3 linked regions of the Macaca fascicularis genome follow. The protein of the gene in region 3 purifies or fractionates together with the protein of the main gene of each other region. This does not show direct contact. Links are inferred from orthologs where the notes say so. Each region holds a gene or a part of one and is shown on either strand. Other genes may lie near its edges.

Region 1 (3,517 bases), on a different chromosome or scaffold from region 3:
CACTGAGCATACCATAAGCCTTCGGTAAACCATTTGCAGAAGACGTAAGTCTAAGTAGAAATCTCTTGACAGAGAGAGGCTCCTTTTGATCGTTGACCTCCAGGTTCCCTAAATCTGTTAAAAAAGAAAAAGAAAAAGGAAAAAAATTCACTAAAGTTTAAATCTGGGAGGATTATACACCTTTCTCAATAAAGCAGTTTAGAAAGATCTGTTTTGGGACCCATGACACAGATCTTGCTCATGCTGACATCCTTATAGTTGCATTATTATTCATTCAACAAACTTATTAACACATATTCTATGTCAGGCCTTTTCCTGACTGCTGGGACAAACCAGGGTGATGTGGGGGCAGTTTTACATAGGGTGATCAGAGAGGCCCTCTCTGCTTGGGTGGCTTTTGAACAGAAAATTAGATGAAGTGAAGGAGTAAGCTTCTGATATTTCACCATTTACTTGTGGTAGATCTGTGATAGTCTCTGTCGGGTTAAAAACATTCCCTTCTAATCTAAGTTTCTAGGATCTATCAAAAGCTGTTTGAATGTGTTTAGACAATCATTATTTTCCTTTCTTGTATTATCCTAGCAGATTTTGTTACCAAAGCTATACTGGCCATTTTAACTTAGAATGCAGTCTTTCTATCCATTTCTCTGGAAAAGTTTGGATATTGTAAGCATTATATTTCTTTAGGTATGATGAACCAGTAGAACTGTTTGGCTCAATTATGAAATTTTTTTCTGGAGTCTGTATTTTTTTGAACTGTTGTTTCTTTAATGATTATAAATCTATTCAGATTTTTACAAGCTTTATCCCTCTCCCATCAGATACTATTTTTCTCACCCATGCTTTTGCACAATTTTTTCCTCTCCCTGTAGTGTTTTTCTGTATACCTCCTATGTATGTCTGTATATGTGAGAAAAGCTTTTTATTTGCCATCTTTATATTTCTAAGAATATCTAGTAATATAGAATTTTATATTCCGAAGAATTTTACTTTGTATTTTCTTATTTTGTGATTGAAAAAAGGTATTAATTTTAAAATGGTCAAATCAGGCTCCATCCTTATTTATAATCTTGGAAAATACCCAAATTCTTTATTTTGAATGGGCCATCTGTTAATTAGGGATACCTTATCTCTTGCCACCACCATTTTAATGGTAAATAAATATGTAGCGAAAACCTTGACTAGACAAAACAGTAAAATAAGATATTCTTTTTTTTTTTTTTTTTTTTTGAGACGGAGTCTCGCTCTGTCGCCCAGGCTGGAGTGTAGTGGCGCGATCTCGGCTCACTGCAAGCTCTGCCTCCCGGGTTCACGCCATTCTCCTGCCTCAGCCTCCCGAGTAGCTGGGACTACAGGCGCCCACAACCGCGCCCGGCTAATTTTTTGTATTTTTAGTAGAGACGGGGTTTCACCGTGGTCTCGATCTCCTGACCTTGTGATCCGCCCGCCTCGGCCTCCCAAAGTGCTGGGATTACAGGCGTGAGCCACCGCGCCCGGCTAAAATAAGATATTCTTGCTTATTTCTAGTACGGTAATTTGAACTGACTTTTAAATCAGTGACATAAATTATTTGCCATGTCTATACTTTTTTTCCTTATACTTTTAGAATGTATGAAACCAAGTTAAAAGAATTGGAAACTGATATTGCCAAAAAAAATCAAAGCATTACTGACCTTAAACAGCTTGTAAAAGAAGCAACAGAGAGAGAACAAAAAGTTAAGAAATACACTGAAGACCTTGAAGAACAGGTAAGTAATGTAATTTTTCTTTACATGATAAAATAATGCATAATATCACAGGATGTTCCTTGCATTGTCTTCTATAGATAAAAATGGACTCGATTAAGAAGACCCATCTAACTGAAGGGCACCCCATTCACCTATTTGCTTAAGCCAGAAACTTTGGATCATCAATGACTTCATTCTTTTCATTCTCCACATCTTTTTTTTTAATCGTTAAATCATGTCAGCTCTATTTTCAAACTATATCCCAAATCTGACCACTTCTTGGCATCTTGAGACATCACTACCAGTCTTGTCCAGGCTATTGTTTTATACCTGAATAACTACAATAATTTCCAAACTGGTATCTCAGCTTCCACTCTTGCATTATTTCACTCTATTTCTATTTCTGGTCTGTCTCCACACAGTTGCCAGGTAACCCTTTTAAAACATAAAGCACATCACAAAGCACAAAGTCCTATCCTCAGAATCTTCCAGTGGTTCTCCATCACCCTAAAATAAAACTTCAAAGTACTTTTCGTATCCCAAAACAATATATGAGGTCTGGTACCCAGTTTTCTTCCCAATCTCATCTTCTACCACTTTTCCCTTCATTTCATTCACAATGTTTTAACCACATTAACCTTCTTTCAGTACTTTAAACAATTCAAACTCGTTTAAGCGTTAAGTCCTTACACTTGTTTCCTTTGTTTAGAATACTGTTCACCCAAATATTCTCATAGCTTCCTCCCAGACTTCATGTCTCTGCTGAAATAGAGGCTCCTCAGAGAGACCTTCCTCACCCTAACCCTAACCCTAACCCTATACTACTTGCCATCACTCTTGATCCTCTTACCCTGGATTATTTTTTCTTGATAGCTCTTCCTACCATCTGGCACTATTATTATATCATATCATATTACATACACATTCTTTGTTTCCACACTAAATGAGGACCATGCAAGATGGAACATTACCTATTTTGTTCACTGCTGTAGCCTCTGTGCCTAGGACAATGCCAGTTATGCAGTAGTTACTCAATACTTGTTGAAAGAATGGTGAATAGAACATAGAAATTTGCCTATGCATGCTTTTGAAAACCAGATTTTAATATTATGCTTTATTAAAAATGTGTATCTTTATAAATCCTCGTATTTCCAAAGTTATCTTCTAACTTTTCATTGTCCCCAAAGATTAAGATTCTTAAACATGTTCCTGAAGGTGCTGAGACAGAGCAAGGCCTCAAACAGGAGCTTCAAGTTCTTAGGTGCGTCATGTGTTCATATGACTACTTTGTTTCTTTCTTTTAAAAAAAAATTATTAGTTTTTATAATCTCAGAATTGCTACAACTAGAGACAAACATTTTTCAACTTTACTGCCTAACAGGCTTATTAGGTCCTTATTTCTTCCTTCTAATGCTAATCACTCTTTTTTTCATAATACACACTGGAAAAAAGGATAAACCCAACTGTAATATAAGTTTCCAGTTTGTAATTTAGTTTAAACTTTTCTAAGAGCATAGAATGGATTAATCCTTAGCTTCCCAGGGGAAAATACTAATGAAAGAGAACAAGTAATTTTTTACTTTCAGGAGTCTCTGTAGCCCACTTTCATTAGGCTCCTCATAACAAAACCACTCTTGGAAATGACCTCAGGTCAGATATTAAGAAAAATGTGAAGGCTTTTGTATTCCAGGCTTTTTGAGAATGGTGACATTGTAGCATTGAGAGTAAATGTTTACTTTGATAAAGACTAGTTTGTTCTGATTACTGTGCATCACTAGTTCATAAGAAAT
Region 2 (3,517 bases), on a different chromosome or scaffold from region 3:
GTTATAAAAGGCATTTTGAGCACAAATGGAAAAATTTAAATATGAACAGAATTATTAGACATTATTAAAAATTATTAATTTTCTTAAGATGTGATAATGGTATTGGGGCTTTATATATGAGAATGTCCTTATTTTTAAGAGATGTATACCAAAATATTTAGGGAAGCAGTGTTAGGTCTTTGTGGTTTTCAAATAGCTAGGCAATTTTTTAAAACGTATGTATGTACACACACACATACATGTATATAAAAATCACAAACACAATAAAGCAAAGATGACAAAAATGTTAAATATTGTTTAATCTAATGGTAAATCTACGGTAGGTCACTGCACTATCCTTTCAATTTTGCTGTATATTTGAAAGTTTCATTACAAAAAGTTGGCAGTTAGCTCTGGTGTCTTTAAAAATTCAATTAAATTGGCCGGGCGCGGTGGCTCAAGCCTGTAATCCCAGCACTTTGGGAGGCCGAGACGGGCGGATCACGAGGTCAGGAGATCGAGACCGTCCTGGCTAACACGGTGAAACCCCGTCTCTACTAAAAAATACAAAAAACTAGCCGGGCGAGGTGGCGGGCGCCTGTAGTCCCAGCTACTTGGGAGGCTGAGGCAGGAGAATGGCGTGAACCCGGGAGGCGGAGCTTGCAGTGAGCTGAGATCCGGCCACTGCACTCCAGCCTGGGTGACAGAGCAAGACTCCGTCTCAAAAAAAAAAAAAAAAAAAAAAAAATTCAATTAAATTAATTAAAATTAATCTCTTAACTCCTGTTATACCAAAACATAAATTTAAAGCTCACTTTTTTCTAATATTAGTTTGTGATTTAAAATAAAGTCATATACATTTTAAAATATCCAATTAGTATCAAACGGTATATGATGAAGTGTCTTCCCTATTATCCTATATTCTCTCACCACTCCCCAGAAAAGGAATAGCCATCCTTTAAAAAACCCAAATGGTTAACTTATATTGGGTACCTCTTATGATCCAGGTGGTATTCTAACCATTTTATAACTATGCATTCATTTAATCTTCAAAATAGCCTTATGAGATAGGCACTATTTTATCCCCATTTAACAAATAAGAAAATGGGCCACAAGTTTACACAGCAAGTAAGTAGCAAAGCAATGATTTGGACCAGGCCAGAAGGCTCCAGAGCCTAGGCTTTTGTTTTTCTTTTTTTCCTTCTTTTGGGACAGGGTCTTGCTCTGTAGCCCAGGCTGGAGATTTTTTCCTTCTCTTGGGACAGGGTCTTGCTCTGTAGCCCAGGCAACAGCGCAATCCTGGCTCCCTGTAGCCTGGAACTCCTAGGTTCAAGGAATCCTTCCACCTTAGCCTTCGAGTAGCTGGGACTACAGGCACATGTCACCACGCCTGCCTAATTTTTTAAAATGTTTTTGTAGAGATGAGGTTTCACTATGTTAACCAGGCTAGTCTTGAATTCCTGGTCACAAGCAATCCTTTCCCTTCCAGCCTCTCAAATAACTGGGACTATAGATGTGAGCCACCGTGCCTGGTCCACAGCCTGGACCTCTAATCGTGACTCTATACTGCCCCTGACAGCATGCTGCACACAGTGTTTTACACTAGATCATCAAGATCCTTCCATGCCTCAACATTTACATCTGCCTTACTGTAATGGTAAGTAAGAGATTTTATAAAATGGACCACAGTTAAACTACTCCACTACTGATGGACATTTAGGTTGTTCGTCAACCTTTGCTATTTTAAACAATGCTAATGTAACTCTGTACTTACTTCTTTAGGCTCACGTATAATTGTAGGATACACCCCAAAATGGAACTGCTGACTCAAAGGCTATGTATGCTTTTAAATTCTACCAAACTCTCATCTAGAAATAAAATAAACTGATTCTCTTAGCAAAAGTGCATTAAAAGTGCATTTTCTCCACAGTCTAAGGAACACAAGGTTCTATTAGCTCTTTGTCAATCTATAATAGTAAGTAAAAAATGCTAATTCATTTGCATTTCTCTAATTCTAAATAAGGGCAGCTCTTCGAATGTTTATAAGCCTTTCTTTTGTTTTTCCATGAACTGTTTTAGTTGTTCACTACAGAAAAAAACTATTTAAAAACAAAGCAAGTTTACCAGTGGAGAAAGGATAGCCACTCCATGAAAGCGAATAAGTGAGATACTTTCAGACTGAGTAGGGAGAAAGCTCTCTGTGGATAGTGATGCTTCTTGTATTCTGGCAAGACTTTTTTCACAGAACTTCTCATACTCCTCCATCTTCCCACAGTCACACTACAAGAGAGAAAAATGTTATTTTTAATGTATTGGGAAAAACAGATCTTATTTGGCAGATTTTGCAGAGCATGAGAGAGTCCCTATAATTCACAATTCCTATAACTGGTCCTCCCAGAATTGTCTTACTAAGGCTGGGCGCGGTGGCTCAAGCCTGTAATCCCAGCACATTGGGAGGCCAAGACAGGTGGATCACTAGGTCAGGAGATCGAGACCATCCTGGCTAACACGGTGAAACCCCGTCTGTACTAAAAAATACAAAAAACTAGCCGGGCGAGGTGGCGGGCGCCTGTAGTCCCAGCTACTCAGGAGGCTGAGACAGGAGAATGGCCCGAACCCGGCAGGCGGAGCTTGCAGTGAGCTGAGATCCGGCCACTGCACTTCAGCCTGGGCGACAGAGCGAGACTCCATCTCAAAAAAAAAAAAAAAAAAAAAAAAAAAAAAAAGAATTGTCTTACTAATCAGGAGCTAATTCTTGTGTATGGTAATTCACCTCAAGAACATGTCCAATTAAGATGTCCTTGATATATTAAATATTTCTGAATATTATTGCATGTAAATCAATCTTTAAATGGGATTAATTTAGCTAAGAATTCATAACCTTCTTAAAGAAAACTAAGTTCTGTACACCTTTACTAACTTCAGATTGTAAAATAGGATATTATATTTTCTTTAACAGGACTTATCTACACAAGAAAAACTATATCATACAAAGGTAGAAACACTGTAGTAAAAAAGCCTACTTAAATCAAAGAATATTTACTTTTAAAAATTTTCTACTTTGAAGTTCAAAGGTTACTTTTTTTTTTTTTTAAAGAGATAGGGTCTCACTATGTTGCCCAAATTGGATTCCAGTGACTATTCACAGGTTCGATCACAGTGCACTATAGTCTCAAACTCCCAGACTCAAGCAATCCTCCTGCCTCAATTTGCCTATCTTAACACTATACTTGGACTCCATGGGCACCAGTCAACTCAGTCAGAGGTAAAAAACAGAAAATCGATTGGCTCTGATATTAATTATATTTTATTGTTGAAAATTGGAACCATCACCAAACTACTTAAAACAATCCCAGTAATTTCACAGTTTCTGGGAAATTGTGATTATGAAAATACAAGGTAACCAGCAGGGATTAGGCATCATATTCATTCATTTAGCAAACATTAAATATTGATTGCTTATTTGCACAGCATTATGTGTGGCACTGTTTCCTTTAAATAAATAAGGGAAAATAAAAAGACATTATCAGAATCATAA
Region 3 (3,517 bases):
CCCCACGGCCCCGCAGCAGCCAGGCTGCCCGTTTGAGGGCACAGGCAGAAGCAGGGAAGTTGAGCCTCTCAGGCGCGCAGGTGATGACTCCCAGGACAAGGGAAGATGTCCACTGTCGGTTTAGGAAATCTATCCGCACCTGGGGAAGAAGGAACTACTCCATAATCACAGCCTCCTGGGAAGAACCAGGCTCGCTACCCACCCCCCCCCACCCCCCCGCCAGGGAGGGAATACTGCACCTCCCAGAATGTGGCCTGGGATGCTGCCTTTTCTTATGCATGGAAGGACCAGAAAATGCAAATTTAGTTGTTTCTTTCCCTTTTTTTTTTTTTTAATAATAATAAAAAAAAGAACCATCAGCCGGCATGGTGGCCCACACCTGTAATCCCAGCACTTTGGGAGGCTGAGGCGGGTGGATCACCTGAGGTCAGGAGTTTGAGACCAGCCTGAGCAACATGGCGAAACCCTGTCTCTACTAAAAATACAAAATTAGCCAGGTGTCGTGGCACATGCCTGTAATCGCAGCTACTCGGGAGGCTGAGGCAGGAGAATCGCTTGAACCCGGAAGGTGGAGGTTGCAGTGAGACGAGGTCGTGCCACTGCATTCTAGCCTGGGCAACAAGAGCACAACTCCATCTCAAAAACAAAACAAAACCAAACCCTGTTTGAGCCGTGACCTTGCTGTTGCCTCTGTAACGATCTGTCAGGATTCTTATTCGTAGGACTTCCTTCATCTAGCTAGCTTTTTTTTTTTTTTTTTTTTTTTTAGAGACAAGATCTTGCCCTGTCTCCCAGGCTAGAGTGCGGTGGCGTGATCTCGGCTCACTGTAACCTCTGCCTCCCAGGTTCAAGTGATCTTCCCACCTCAGCCTCCTGAGTAGCTGGGATTATAGGCTCGTGCCACCATGCCTGGCGAATTTTTGTATTTTTTTGCAGAGACAGAGTTTCGCTATATTGCCCAGGCTGGTCGCAAACTCGTGAACTCAAGCGATCCGCCTGCTTTGGCCTCCAAAAGTTCTGGGATTACAGGTATGAGCCACTGTACCTGGGCTCATCTGGCTAACTTTGATATATCTTTCAGTTTGTAGCAAAAAGGCACCTTCTTCTGGAAAGCCCTCTCTGCTCCCACATATAGGATCAGGCATTTCCCTTGGACTCCTCCAGCCTGTCCCTACTGCTTCCCTCACCGATCGCCAGGTAGGGACTTCGTGGTAACTGACTGACAAACCCCATTACAGGCTATGAATAAAAGCCCAGAAAGCTCATCCAAGTGGCTTGCTTTCTTTTTCTCCACCCAAAAAGGCCTTTCTTCAGGAGGGTTGGCCATGGGTCACTGTGGAGCGAGAGGAGCTGGGGACAGGGAGGGAGAGCCCACCTGGACCAGCAGCTGGGGCACCAGAGGCTGGTTGATGACAACGATGCCCTGATTGTAGCTGGCCACCCGTGTGGCTGTACGGTTCCCATTAGACAAGAGGATATTCTTCCCGTGGTTCTCCAGGAACTCGAGGGTGGTGGGTATAATACCCACTTCATTCTGGCCCTGGTGTGGAGGAAGAGACTAAGCTGCATGGGTTGCCAATGCCAGGACCGACCCACCCCACTGGAGTTTGCACAGACCCTGAGTGTGAGCCTCCACCCAACGATCAGAGAACCCAAAAAAGGCCTGGCATCCAACGGCCCAGCAACTGCCCATCCACGTGCACAGCAGGCCATGCTGCAGCCTCTTACTCCCAGGCCATGCTCCTCGCCCTCGTCATCCTCCTCGCCCTCACTGCCGGTGTCTGAACTGGGGGAAGGAGGCTGGGTGCCTTCTGACTCCTCCAGCCTTGTGGAACTGACAATCGACACACTGCGGACTGGCCCGTAGAGATCCAACACAGCCCACACGTTCTGGGAGGCACACAAGACCCAGACAAATCAGAGATCAGCGGAAGACCTCAACCATCCTCCCAAAACCCAAGGAAGCATTCAGGTCTACCTTGGCAATGCCAGTGGCTGCAGGCCCCATATCCTCTCCATCCACCAGGATGTGCATCGTGTCATCTGCCCCCCGACGAACACCCACACGGCTCCCCACCTAGGACCAAGGCAGGACAAGGACAGATGATGCTCAGCCCACCCCTCCCTGCCACCGCCACTCCCAACCCCTCCCCTGTCCCTGGAGCCAGCCACTTCACCCCCAGCCTCTCTAGGTTCCGGCCATAGTTCATCCTCTGGAGCTGCCCATCACGCCTCACTTCACAGCTGGATACCATCCAAGTGGTCTTCGTCCGGAGCTCTGGCAGGGAAGGAGGCAGCCCTGGGCCACTGCCACCTGCTCCGGGTCCCATCTCCCCCGGGGCTAGTGTGGTCAGTCCCAGCCGCAGGGAACCTGCCCACTTCTCATCTAGCTCTTCCACTTTCACCTATGAGACAGAGACAAGATGAGCTGGCCCTGTGGCGATGGGCCTGGCAGCCCCTCTGTCACATCGCTACGGCCTACCTCAAAGACTTCCTCAGCCCTCAGCTCCTTGGTACTGAAGACAAGACCATGAGCATAGCCAGCGGCACGCACCGCCCTCGTGCCATCCTCCTCTAGAGTGACATTCTTGCCGCAAGTACTGTGGAATCGGTGAGCCACGCCAGCCACTGTGAAAAGATGGCACCAGAGGAAGGGGTAGGACTGGGGCAGCAAGCTTCAGATGGAACAGAGCAAAGCTTTCAGATGAAACGAGATGGGGACACCAACGCCCCATCTGCCATCTGCCATTACTCCTCAGGGCCTCCTGACACCTCTTTATTGTATTTTTTTTTTTTTTTTTTTGAGGCACGGTCTCGCTCTGTCACTCAGGCTGGAGTGCAGTGGCACAATCACGGCTCAGTGCAGCCTCAACTTCCTGGGATTCAGCGATCCTCCCACCTCAGCCTCCCAAGTAGCTGGGACCACAGGTGCACGCCACCACAACTGCTTAAATTTTGTATTTTTGGTACAGACTGGGTTTCGCCGTGTTTCCCAGGCTGGTTTCAAACTCTTGTGCTGGAGCGATCCACCCGCCTTGATCTCCCAAAGTGCTGGGATTACAGGCATCAGCTACTGCGCCCAGCCCTGATACCTCTTTTCACCACAGCAAGACTCATTTCCAAACCTGGCATGCTCAGTTGATGGTGTCCTGGCCCCTTGGTGGCAGGGAAGTGTCCAGGCTCTAAGTACCAGGTGTAACCTCCCCCTTACTGGCTGCTTGCCACCGTGGGCTGTCCCTTCCCTTGAGCCGGCAGCTACCCCAGCCAACCGTCTTTGCACAGCTGCTGTAACCTGGAAGCCCTACTCCTCAGGCGCACAGCAGGCAAGCAGAGCCCATCCAGCCCCCGCCCGGCTGCCGCACCTGGGGAGTGCAGTGGGAAGGACTTCTCGGTGGCAGTGTTGCTGGTCGCCAGGCTATTGTCCATGGGGCCGGTGGCATTGGTGATGGACACTTGGACACACTGGCCATAGAGATCGACTACTGCATACACCTCTGGGGAGGAGAGGGAAGGTCAG

The links.
Region 1: the proteins of NEURL4 (region 3) and CEP290 purify together in Homo sapiens (affinity purification with mass spectrometry; 3 studies listed by BioGRID and IntAct, with this or other methods). This does not show direct contact. The link is inferred for Macaca fascicularis from reciprocal best matches to the Homo sapiens genes NEURL4 and CEP290.
Region 2: the proteins of NEURL4 (region 3) and CCP110 purify together in Homo sapiens (affinity purification with western blotting; 4 studies listed by BioGRID and IntAct, with this or other methods). This does not show direct contact. The link is inferred for Macaca fascicularis from reciprocal best matches to the Homo sapiens genes NEURL4 and CCP110.

What each region holds. Positions count from the first base shown.
Region 1 is NC_088385.1:94,988,407-94,991,923, reverse strand, and holds part of CEP290 (centrosomal protein of 290 kDa), read left to right. Parts: intron 1-12; exon of another isoform or gene 13-50; coding exon of another isoform or gene 51-114; intron 115-1,606; coding exon 1,607-1,748; intron 1,749-2,914; coding exon 2,915-2,988; intron 2,989-3,517. UniProt on the Homo sapiens protein: Involved in early and late steps in cilia formation. Its association with CCP110 is required for inhibition of primary cilia formation by CCP110.
Region 2 is NC_088394.1:19,072,990-19,076,506, reverse strand, and holds part of CCP110 (centriolar coiled-coil protein of 110 kDa), read right to left. Parts: intron 2,260-3,517; coding exon 2,104-2,259; intron 1-2,103.
Region 3 is NC_088390.1:7,376,124-7,379,640, forward strand, and holds part of NEURL4 (neuralized-like protein 4), read right to left. Parts: intron 3,495-3,517; coding exon 3,363-3,494; intron 2,629-3,362; coding exon 2,483-2,628; intron 2,406-2,482; coding exon 2,178-2,405; intron 2,078-2,177; coding exon 1,979-2,077; intron 1,891-1,978; coding exon 1,729-1,890; intron 1,541-1,728; coding exon 1,376-1,540; intron 140-1,375; coding exon 1-139. UniProt on the Homo sapiens protein: Promotes CCP110 ubiquitination and proteasome-dependent degradation. By counteracting accumulation of CP110, maintains normal centriolar homeostasis and preventing formation of ectopic microtubular organizing centers.